Linked DNA regions of Callithrix jacchus. The protein of the gene in region 1 interacts with the protein of each later gene in a pairwise test. Links are inferred from orthologs where the notes say so. Each region holds a gene or a part of one and is shown in the gene's direction. Other genes may lie near its edges. The genes, in order: LRP2, MAPK8IP2 and MAPK8IP1.

The links.
Region 2: the proteins of LRP2 (region 1) and MAPK8IP2 interact in a two-hybrid assay, tested with the Homo sapiens proteins (2 studies listed by BioGRID). The link is inferred for Callithrix jacchus from reciprocal best matches to the Homo sapiens genes LRP2 and MAPK8IP2.
Region 3: the proteins of LRP2 (region 1) and MAPK8IP1 interact in a two-hybrid assay, tested with the Homo sapiens proteins (2 studies listed by BioGRID). The link is inferred for Callithrix jacchus from reciprocal best matches to the Homo sapiens genes LRP2 and MAPK8IP1.

The regions. Positions count from the first base shown.
Region 1 is NC_133507.1:60,247,622-60,251,264, forward strand, and holds part of LRP2 (low-density lipoprotein receptor-related protein 2), read left to right. Parts: coding exon 1-98; intron 99-2,016; coding exon 2,017-2,394; intron 2,395-3,546; coding exon 3,547-3,643. UniProt on the Homo sapiens protein: Multiligand endocytic receptor. Acts together with CUBN to mediate endocytosis of high-density lipoproteins. Mediates receptor-mediated uptake of polybasic drugs such as aprotinin, aminoglycosides and polymyxin B.
Region 2 is NC_133502.1:219,185,753-219,189,395, forward strand, and holds part of MAPK8IP2 (C-Jun-amino-terminal kinase-interacting protein 2), read left to right. Parts: intron 1-95; coding exon 96-1,340; intron 1,341-1,700; coding exon 1,701-1,776; intron 1,777-1,894; coding exon 1,895-2,067; intron 2,068-2,147; coding exon 2,148-2,257; intron 2,258-2,967; coding exon 2,968-3,075; intron 3,076-3,218; coding exon 3,219-3,289; intron 3,290-3,643. UniProt on the Homo sapiens protein: The JNK-interacting protein (JIP) group of scaffold proteins selectively mediates JNK signaling by aggregating specific components of the MAPK cascade to form a functional JNK signaling module.
Region 3 is NC_133511.1:110,908,731-110,913,045, forward strand, and holds the start of MAPK8IP1 (C-Jun-amino-terminal kinase-interacting protein 1), read left to right. Parts: upstream 1-1,416; 5' UTR 1,417-1,613; coding exon 1,614-1,714; intron 1,715-4,315. UniProt on the Homo sapiens protein: The JNK-interacting protein (JIP) group of scaffold proteins selectively mediates JNK signaling by aggregating specific components of the MAPK cascade to form a functional JNK signaling module. Required for JNK activation in response to excitotoxic stress.

The DNA.
Region 1 (3,643 bases):
TCAATTCAAGTGTGGCAGTGGGGATAAATGTATTAGCATCACAAAACATTGTGATGGTGTTTTTGACTGCAGTGACAACTCGGATGAAGCAGGCTGTCGTAAGTAACACATACCTAGCATGTTTCAGACAAAGGGACCATTTCATTTTTACCAGCATTGATATTACCACAAATTTTCCCTATCTCAGACAAATTGGGGGAAAGATAGCCTGAATTACAAAGTATCCTCAAAGGAATGCAATGTTGAACATACAGTAAAATTGAGTAGACATTTCCAAATAATGTTCAATTAGTGAATCAAGTGGTTGTATAAATGGACACTTCAAATAGTCTTTTTGATAGGCTAAATATGTCTTAGATATTTTCATCCTCACTTTTAGTTTTTCTTAGGACTTCCCTCATTAGTGGGTTTAAACTTTTGAGGCTTTACTCCATATAAATATATTTTACTGGTTCCTTTTAAGTTTCAGTAGAGAGGTCAAATCATGGTGTAGAAATGGTATGGAGCTGTATTTGGTATTGAGTCTGATAAATTTATTCTTTGTGCTATTATGTGTTGAATATCTGCTAAGATGTTATTTATGACCTTTGTCCTCAGACTGTGGTAAGGGAGATTATAGAAGGCAAGAGACAATTAAGCAAGACAGTTATAAGGGTCTTGGAAATGGCACAGATAAAATTCTATGGAGGTTCAGAGAATAGAAATTTCTTTAGTTGGAGGATTCAAGTAGGACTTCATACAAAATAATTCTGATGGATCTATAATCTTCACAGACTGGAGGCCTATACTCACATGGTTTGTTATTTGCTCACCTTTTGTGTTAAATGGATTTGAGACTTGCAAAAACTCATCAGTGAGTTGAACATTGGTTTGAACAATGGTGTTTCAGACCTTGAAAAGTAGGTTTTCATGAATTTTCCTCCCAAGTCAGAAGGTAGTGTATAAAGCCAGGGATTCAAAAGAAAAGTTAAATGAAATGCTTATGTACTTTATAGTTTTCACAGCATCTAAAAATTCCTAATCACCAATTTTCCTGTATTCCATTGAAAACATAAAATTCTGTGATGAGTTGAGGTTAAACTGTCAATTGCTGCTGGCTTGCTGTTGCCTTGTGAGATCCCTGGGAGAGAGTTTCGGTTTACCCCTGTGAAAAGGGAAGCAGTGCTTACCTATCTCTCCAGGACTGCTCAATGCATAGTGGAAAGTTTGCAAAGAATTAAGTATTTACCATCACCTTTAGTTTACTTAGTGTGTGCTGGTTTCATTGGGTATAGTTCATTTGAGGGAAAATAATAACACCCAAACATGTTATTAAACACGTAAAGTTCAAAGTAACCATAGCTATGTAAGCTGTATTACAATGTTCTGGCGATTCTTTCATAGAAAGATAAATTTTATTGTTGAATCTGCAGTTGGAAGAATATTAGAAACATAAGAAACAATGTTCTTTTTTTTTGTTTTTTTTTTTTGACAGAGCCTTGCTCTGTCGCCAGGCTGGAGTGCAGTGGCACAATCGTGGCTCACTGCAACCTCCGCCTCCCAGGTTTAAGCGATTCTCCTGTCTCAGCCTCTTGAGTAGCTGGGACTACAGGTACGCACCACCACACCCAGCTAATTTTTGTATTTTTAGTAGAGATGGGGTTTCACCATGTTGGCCAGGATGGTCTCAATCTCCAGACCTTGTGATCCTCCTGCCTCGGCCTCCCAGAGTGCTGGGATTACAGGCGTGAGCCACTGTGCCTGGCCCAGAATGTTCCTTTGACACAGATACTTACCTTCTAGTCAGCAGTGTGCATCCTGTACTTTGTTGTCAAATCCACCAGTTGCTACACAGAAATATTTCTATACTAACTATGCAGGAGAAGACTCTGTATTATTTAGCTTTCAGTATTAATTTTGTCATAGTTGTTACTATAAACCTACTATTGGATCCAAAATCATTTCCTCTGAGTCTAGGTTTTAAAAGGGATCATGAATTACATTCACAGGCCCATTTCCCACATGTTTTCCTTCTAGCCACCAGGCCTCCTGGTATGTGCCACTCAGATGAATTTCAGTGTCAAGAAGATGGTGACTGCATCCCGAAGTTCTGGGAGTGTGATGGGCATCCGGACTGCCTCTCTGGATCTGATGAACACAATGCCTGTGTCCCCAAGACTTGCCCTTCGTCATATTTCCTCTGTGATAACGGAAACTGCATCCACAGGGCGTGGCTCTGTGATCGGGACAATGACTGCGGGGATATGAGTGATGAGAAAGACTGCCCTACACAGCCCTTTCGCTGTCCTAGTTGGCAATGGCAGTGTCTTGGCCATAACATCTGTGTGAATCTGAGTGTAGTATGTGATGGCACCTTTGACTGCCCCAATGGGACAGATGAGTCCCCACTTTGCAGTAAGTTTCCTGACCACAGTTTACTGACCATAAACTCATTCTGAACAGTAGCTTGGTGTGCATCACCATTTTCAGTCACTGTGTAGATTTTTAGGAAGGGATTTCAGTTCCTCTATGAGTTCACATTTGTGTAGGGGGTAACCATAATTGAATTAAAATACATCACCATTGGATAATTTTCTGATTAAATTCTTTGCACTTGGTTATGTGTTTTTACTTCTTTTTATGTCTTTGTTTAAAAAAATAAGACTAAATTGAGGGAATTAGAGTGTCAAATTAAATTTGGTTCTCTTGGTAATGTGCTCATTAATTTTTCTATCTTTAATATTTTCTAATTTCAATCAGAACTTGTAACAAAAAAAAATTAAGTCCAGGGATTTGTGTTGCTGTGATTAAAATGCTGTGATTGGCATGTGGTCCTAATTACTGTCATTTCTTTCTTTCCCCTTTAATCAATGCTCACTCTCAGATGAACCCCAGCCAGGTATGATTGTGAAGTATTTCAGATTCTTATCGTATGTGTTGCATTTGTTCTGAAAATGTCCTGATTATATTAACTTACTTCCCTTTCTAATGCATGTTCTGTCTTATGACTCTTGCAAATATGTTAGAGTACACATGTGAATTGTCTTAGAATGACTTTAGGCATTTTCATTTTGGCTCTGAAAGTAAGGCATGATGGTGTGTTAGTGGATCTGTGTACTCTAATGTTTCAATGACCTTTCCCCTTTATTCACTTCATAGATTTTCTAGTCTTTTCTCTTAAATTTCTGTATGGATAGAAGAATTCAGAGGAAGAAAATGAGAAACAATTTTAAGTCTCTTTGCATGCTCTATTAATGACACTTCTTCCCTGATGTCTACAATATTTTCCCAAGGACTCTCAATTATATAAATGGAGTTATACTATCAGGCTGTAGTGAAGAAGGCAATTGTATTCCAATGGATAGGAAGGATGGTAAATCCTCAGGCAAATCAGAGCAAACCCTTAATAGCCTGCAGAGCTCATCCAAGTGAATGCTGAACTTAGTTCTTGTCTGGGCATCATATTGAAGGTGGCATGATACTGCATGATAACTATTGTATAAGAATGAATTAAAGAAGCATAGATTCTTGATTTTCTTTTTTCATTATTTTCTTTCTTTTTTCTAGACCAGAACAGCTGCTCAGATTTCAATGGTGGTTGTACTCACGAGTGTGTTCAAGAGCCCTTTGGGGCTAAATGCCTATGTCCATCGGGATTTGTACT
Region 2 (3,643 bases), on another chromosome or scaffold:
GCACCGGGAAGCGCGGAAGGAGGGGAGGGAGGATGGGCTGGCTGCTGGAAGAGGTCTGGATCTTAGTGAGAGGGTGACCCCACCTCCCCGCCCAGCAGAGCTCCCTGGCCCCCTCCCTCCCACGGATGCAGGGCCTGGCGGGGCGCAGTCGCCGGTGCGCCCTGGTTGCGACTGCGAAGGGAACCAGCCTGCGGAGCCCCCGGCGCCAGGGGGGACTTCGCCCTCCTCAGATCCCGGCATCGAGGCTGACCTGAGAAGCCGCTCGAGCGGGGGCCACGGGGGACGTCGCAGCAGCCAGGAGCTGTCCTCGCCGGGCTCCGACTCGGAGGACGCGGGCGGCGCGCGCCTGGGGCGCATGATCTCGTCCATCTCGGAGACCGAGCTGGAGCTGAGCAGCGATGGCGGGAGCAGCAGCAGCGGCCGCTCCTCGCACCTCACCAACTCCATCGAGGAGGCCTCGTCGCCCGCCTCGGAGCCGGAGCCCGAGCCGGAGCCGGAGCCCCTGCGCGAACCCCCGCGCCGCCCCGCCTTCCTGCCCGTGGGCCCCGACGACACCAACAGCGAGTACGAGTCGGGGTCTGAGTCGGAGCCGGACCTCAGCGAGGACGCGGACTCGCCCTGGCTGCTCAGCAACCTGGTGAGCCGCATGATCTCCGAGGGCTCCTCGCCCATTCGCTGCCCCAGCCAGTGCCTGTCTCCTGCGCAGCGCCAGCCCGGGGAGCCCGTGTCTCCGGCCGGCGGGGTCGCCCAGGACTCCCAGGACCCCGAGGCGGCCACGGGGCCCGGCGGTGTGGAGCTGGTGGACATGGAGACGCTGTGCGCGCCGCCGCCGCCCGCACCCGCCGCGCCTCGGCCCGGCCCGGCGCAGCCCGGGCCCTGCCTGTTCCTCAGCAACCCCACGCGCGACACCATCACGCCGCTGTGGGCCGCGCCCGGCCGCGCCGCCCGCCCCGGCCGAGCCTGCTCTGCCGCCTGCTCCGAGGAGGAGGACGAAGAGGACGACGAAGATGAGGAGGAGGCCGAGGACAGTGTGGGCCCCCCTGGGGGCAGGGGTACCGGCCCCTCAGCACCGCGGGACGCCTCACTGGTGTACGACGCTGTCAAGTACACGCTGGTGGTGGACGAGCACACGCAGCTGGAGCTGGTGAGCCTGAGGCGCTGCGCCGGCCTGGGCCACGACAGCGAGGAGGACAGCGGCGGGGAGGCCAGTGAGGAGGAGGCAGGCGCTGCGCTGCTAGGCGGCAGTCAGGTCCCGGGGGACTCCTCGCCCGACAGCCCTGACCTCACTTTCTCCAAGAAGTTCCTCAATGTCTTCGTCAACAGCACATCTAGGTCCTCCAGTGAGTGAGAGGCGGGTAAAATGGGGGTGGCCCGAGGAATATCTGCACTCCCTCGCCCTAGTCCCACAGGTGCCCCACAGTTCCCAGGGCCACCTGAGGGTCTGGCCATGGTCAAGTCTGGGCCACCTGAGGGTCTGGCCGTGGTCAGGGCTGGCCACACTCTCCCACCCAGGACATGGTAAGAGGTGGCCTGCTCTGCCTCAGTCCCTTTCCCCTCCCAGGACACCCACATCAGACTGCAGAGGGGAGGGGATTTGGCCTCTGCCCAAGGCCAGGCCTTTAAGCACCTTCCTTCCCCCACTCTGCCTTGCTGCCTCTGTCTTCGCGTGCCCCCCACCTCTGTCCTGCCGCATCTCTCAGGCACCGAGTCCTTTGGCCTTTTCTCCTGTCTGGTCAACGGTGAGGAGCGAGAGCAGACGCACCGGGCTGTGTTCAGGTACAGCCTCCCTCCTTGCTGGTAGTGGCCCCAGCCTCAGTCCGTGGCATCACAGGACACCAGTGGACATGACCCTCAGCCCTGCCTGCCTCCCCAGTGACCTGTCTCCCAATGGCAGGTTCATCCCACGGCATCCAGACGAGCTGGAGCTGGATGTGGATGACCCTGTGTTGGTGGAGGCGGAGGAGGATGACTTCTGGTTCCGAGGCTTCAACATGCGCACAGGGGAGCGAGGGGTGTTCCCCGCCTTCTACGCCCATGCGGTGCCTGGCCCTGCCAAGGACCTGCTGGGTGAGGCCCCAACCCTGAGGGATGGCTTGTCACCCCAGATGCTCTGCCCCTGACTGACCTGGGCCCTCTGTGCCTCCCAGGGAGCAAACGGAGCCCCTGCTGGGTGGAGCGCTTCGATGTGCAGTTCCTGGGCTCTGTGGAGGTGCCCTGTCACCAGGGAAACGGCATCCTGTGTGCAGCCATGCAGAAGGTCAGTGTGGAGGCCAGGCAAGTACAGGCTGAGGGTCCGCATGGCAGCCACACCAGCACCACAGGCTGGCACAGGGCCTCGACTTCCTACAGGGAGGGCAGCTCAGGGTGGGTGCCCCAGGCCCTGGTTCAGAGGCCTGAGCAGGTGAGTCCAGGACAGAGCTCAGCAACTCTCCCTCATCACCTCTGGGTCTCTGGGCCACAGACCTTCCAGGCACTGCCATCAGCCCTTCCTCTTCCTGTCTGAAATTGAGACCAGCTCTCACAGCCCCTTCCCTGAGAGTCATCTACTCAGTGGACATTAGTGAGCACCTGCCCATCCAGCAGTCCTGAGACTGAGGCTGGGGGCTGTAGGGAGCAGAGCAGACCAGCCCTGCATCTGAGAGCTCCAACTCACTCATGGGGCAGGCAGTGAAGAGGCCAGGGTGGGTGGGGTCTGTGTTCCTGGCTCCTGAGCCAAGCGCAGCAGTCTGCCTAGAGGAGCAGAGGGAAGATGAAGCAAGCTGACTGCAGAGAGGTGACCGCTCCTCCTGAGCCTGAGGAGTGGCCAAGCCCACCCCCTATATCTTCCAGAATTGCATCTCAGGGGTCCTTAACAGGAGTGTCTGTGAACATAAGCTAAAAGGAGCAGAGGCATAGTCCCACCAAGGGGAAAGAAAGTGGCCCTTGTGGGCTCCTCAAGACCCTCTTCTCCCCCAACTTCTTCCTTAGATCGCCACTGCCCGGAAACTGACCGTCCACCTGCGCCCTCCTGCCTCCTGTGACCTCGAGATCTCTCTTCGGGGAGTCAAGCTGAGTCTGAGTGGAGGAGGCCCCGAGGTGGGGGTGTGGGGGACTGGGGTCGGGGGGTAGGGTAAGGCTGAGGAGTCTGACAGGGCCGGGCTGGCAGGGGCATCCAGCAGGCAGGAGGCAGGAGTGGCCCCAGGCCTTTCTGACACGGGCTCCTGCCCCTTCTGCTCTAGTTCCAGCGCTGCAGCCATTTCTTCCAGATGAAGAACATCTCATTCTGCGGCTGCCACCCCCGCAACAGCTGGTGAGAGCCTAACCGTCCCCCAGAGTCCCCACAAACCCTGAGGGCTGCTCATACCCGACCCCAAGAGCTCCACCTGCACCCACCTGGCTCTGTGAGCTGAGCATGCAGTGATGTCCACTCTGAGCTGGACTCGGGAGGTGCAGGTCAGACGGGCTTGCATCTGGTCTGGGTGGAGAGAGACACACGGGCAAAGGACATGAGCAGCTGCTTTGGGTATGGAGCATGCCTGAGTGGGCCCTGGGGAGCAGACCCCCAGAGGTGGGCCAGTCCTCCTGGGGCTCAGGATGGCCAGCCTGGAAAAACAGCAGGCGACAGGGATGGGGAAGTGGCTCTACCTGGTGGGGTCCAGCTGAG
Region 3 (4,315 bases), on another chromosome or scaffold:
TGAGCACAAAAAGCTAAGAATAGTGGCCACCCCTCTGGGCCCCAAGAGCAGGGAAAAGAGAAGCAGCCACGACCTTTGGCTTTGGGTATTGGGATATTGAGTCTGGAGCTGGGGGGTTGCCTTCTGCAAGGAAGGTGCCTTCTGCTCCTTGCTGGGTGCTACACTGAGGGAAAGGGGCCAGCATTACCCGTCAGCCTTCCAGATACGCAAATAGGACTCCACGACTTGTGGCACAGTATGCAGGTTTTCTGTCCTGTCCTGCAGTGTGGACAGGGTCTCTAGGGTTCTCTTGAGGGACCAGAGAAGCCAATAAGGTTTGCCCAGAGGCTCCATGACCCACCAAAGCTGGAGGCCTAGTCCATACTCTGTGAAATGACTCAATCAGGGAACACAGGGCCTTGAAGGCCTGGAAGCTCAGGCTTAACACCCTCTTGGGGGAGAGACAATGAGGAAGAAACCATGGCCAAAGCCTAGCAGGGATGGAGGTGCCAGAGGGAACAGAAAGAACCAAAATGATCCCAAGAAGTCAACAGTGGGAGCAGAGGGAAAAGCCCCAAGTCTTAGAATGTGAGTCTGTGGGTGCAGAGGAGGGGTGCTCTGCAGGAAATGCAGTTGAGGCGCTAAGAAGGAGAATGCTGGGAAGGTCCTGGGGTGAAGGAGGAGGTGCTGAGAGACTGAAAAGGCTGGAGGGCTCAATTCACCACAAGTAGCTGTTAGGGGCTGAAGAGAGGCTTGCATCAATCTTTAGAGAGGGCAGCCTCTAGGGAGAGTCTTTGGCAGGGTCCCCTCAAGGTAAAGGGACAGGACTGGGGTGAGGCCTGGATCCCGGTGCAGGAGGTGGAGTGTTTCCAGGTCTTAGTAGCAACACATTTGTGTTACGTTACATCCTCACAACCATGAGAGGGGCCGTTATTGTCCCATTTCACAGGTAAGAAGACCACACCTTAGTCCTCTTTAGTCACTAATGCAAGGCCCCAATGCCCAATCACTTGTGGAGCCAGAGAATTCACACCACCCAACTCCAAACCTGTACACTCTAAGAACCCACTGATATCCTCTCCTTTTTCTGCCTTCCTCCACGACCCTCCTTTTTCGTCTACCTTCTTGGTCTCTGCTGCGGGGGCCAAACCTGGACCTTGGGGTCCAGGGTCCTGCCATTAGTTATCTGATACCCGAGCGCTAAGCTCACCCGGAGGGACAAAGCCCACACCAGCCACTGGGGACCTTGAGGGGTAGAGGAGAGTCAGTGTCGGATTTAGGGCGGGGCTGAGCCAAGCCCAGGGCCGCGGGTCCGTGGCTTCAGCACCGCGGAGAGCGCCATCTCCGGGGGCGGGGCTGTCGGGACAGGGGCGGGGAAAGGGCGGGGCGCTCGAGACCCCGGCCGGGGCCCAGGGGCGCGCGCCGGGCGCTCTAGCCAGTCCCGCTAGCCGTGCGCGGCGCGGAGCCGCGCCTTGCCAGACACAGGTGCGCCCGCCCAGCCCGCCCAGCCCGAGCCCCGCGGCGGCGGCGGCGGCGGCGGCGGCGGCTGCCCCCTCGCCGCGCCTCCGCCTCCTTCGCCGCCGTCGCCTCCTCCGCGCCGCGCTCCGCCCGGATGGCCAGGGCTGTGCCCGAGAATGGCGGAGCGAGAAAGCGGCGGCCTGGGCGGGGGTGCTGCGTCCCCGCCCGCCGCCTCCCCGTTCCTGGGGCTGCACATCGCGTCTCCTCCCAATTTCAGGTGAGAGTCCCCGGCCGCCGCGCGCCTCGCCCTTCAGCGGGACTGATCCTCCTGGGCTGTCCCTGGCCGCCCCCTACCCCAGAACCTCGGGAACCCGGGAACGAGAGGACGGCGTGGGGATGGGGTATCTTCCCGGGACAGAGTCCCCCAGAAGCCCCGCCAGCCTCATGCTCGGACTGGTAGTCGCTGCAGGTTCACGGGGCCGCTCCCTCCGCCATTCCTGGTCCTAGGCCGGGAGGTCTGCGCTGGAATTGGAGGAGGGGGCTCGGAGGCTGCCTTCTTTCCCACCTCCGGGCTGGGCTGCAGCAGGGTCTGGGATCCGGGTTGTGATCCCTGAGCGGGCAGGCGGGCTGCATCTTAGCCTTTGCCCAGTCGGAAGATTTCTGAATAGGGCTGGGAACAGCCTGGGCGGGGCGGGGAGGGGCGGGGGGGGGGGGTCGCGGGTCGCAGTTTCCTGGGGGCAACGTTGTTGTTGGTGCTGGGAGGACGGCGTCTTGGGCCCCTGCCTGCCCAGATGGGCCTACCTGTCATGTCCGCCATGGCCAGGCCCCTCTCTGGATTGAGCAGCACCGACCTGGGCAGGTGTGTCTCTCAGGGCAGGCGCTGAAGGCTCAGCCTCAACCTGGGGAATCCTAGGCCCGGCTGTGGGAAGGGAAGTCGGCCAGGGAGTAGCCAGGGCCAGCGGGGGTGTCAGGGGTCCCTGCTGGAGTAAATACCCAGAACCCTGACCTAAGCTCCCATTCCACCCCTCCCACCGCCCCCCACCAGCCTGGTGTTAGGTCTGATGTGTTTCAGAGAAGTGAAGGGTGACTGTGTGGAGGAGGAATAGATATACCTCCCCCATAATTCTGACCCCTAGTTGGTGGGGAGGAAGAGGCAGATGTCACTGCTCCCCACCTAGAGAGGGAGGCTTAGACATACCCCATTGTTTCCCCATCTCAAGAGCTGGCGCCTTCCCCTCTCCTGGGGCCCCACCCCAGCCAGGCTCCAGCTGGGCTGTGGCGCCAGCCCCTCCTGGGAGCAAGGGGTCACTGGCTCCCAGGTCCTCAGGTGGACAGAGACCCCTGGGGATCTCTAATGGCATCATCAAACCCAGAAACCTCCCCCAAGACCCTGAGCTGAGCCGGGAGGACCAGAGGGGGCCAGATGGAGGAGACCAGGCCTGAAGGCTCCAGGGCTGCAGCTCTCTGATAATGCCTTCGACTCACAGGCTGAGGTCTGAGACTCCACCTGGCGTGGCGCACAAGGCCTCCATGCAAACACTGCCTCCCCACCTGGAGGCCTCTCTGCAGTGGAAGCACATAGTGCTTATAAGGACCTGGGTTCAAATCCTAGCTCCACTATCCAACTGCATGACCCAGGCAGGGTTTTGTCCACTGAGTGCCATCTGTTAAGTGGGCCGATTAATATTGATTCCTGCCTGGAAAGGAGAAAAAGCAGAGCAGGTCAGTGTTCAGCAAGGGCCAGCCCGGACACTAGCAGACTGCTACAGCTCGCTGCTATCCAGAGTGTCCTCCCAAGGCCACTCTCTTGATCCTCATAACCACCCGAGAGAAGGTAATGGTCCTCCCATTTTATAGACAAGGTGATTGAGATGAACAAAGGCAGAGTGGCTTGCTAGGGACTCCAAAATAGTAAGAGGCTGAGGCCACAGTGGGACCCAGGTCTGTGCATGTTCAGTCCACTCTGCCTCCCCGCCCTGCCTCCGGCCTAGAGGGCAGCTTTTCCTCCCCGACCTGCTTCCCCAGGTGTCATGAATGCTTTAGTGAGAGGAGCTGAGGAAACGGATACCAGCTAGTGAGTGTGTGGCCAGCTCTCGCCACATGGGACAAGGGTGGCAGTAGGCCAGGAGGTTGAAGCGTGGGTCGGCCCTCCAGGACATCGTGGCCTGGCTGCAGAGACAAGGCCAGCATGTGGGAATAATACGGGTCAGTGTCTCAGGCCCTGCTGACCTGCCCTGCTGTTCCTGCAGCCCCCACTGCCCTTTCTCCTGGCCCGCCTCTCACTATGCTTGACCCAGCTCCACTTAACCCTGGGTGGGTGGGTAGTGCTTTCCTGTGGCTCTTTGGTGGTGTCATGGATCCAACTGGCCTGGGCTTGAATCCTGACTGGGCCTTCTTAGCTGTGTGCCTTTACACTGGACACTTAAGCTCTCTGAGCCTCCAAGATGCCAGCGCTGGCCCCTGCTCAGGATGGTCCTGTGAATCAGATGAGATAACACGTGTTGAGTGTTTCAAGGGCTGAGGAGAGCCACAGGTAGGCAGGGCTGTGTGTGTGTGTGTGTTTATGTGTGTGTGTGCAACTTGACCCCCAGTGCCACTGTCAGCTCCCAGAAGACACAGGGGATCTGTACCCAAACTTTGGTATCTCCATTGCTCAGCACACGATAGGTACTCAACGGTGGTAAGCGCTGACATTTGGAAGGCACTCAGTTCGCCCAGGCACCATTCTAAGAGTTTCCTGTGTGCAAGAGTATTTACTCTTCACAATAACGATATCAACAGAGCATTGTTATTATCCACACTTGCATGAGGAAACTGAGGCAGAGGGAGGTTACGTAAGTGGCAGAGCTGGTAAGTGGCAGGCAGTCTGATGTCAGAG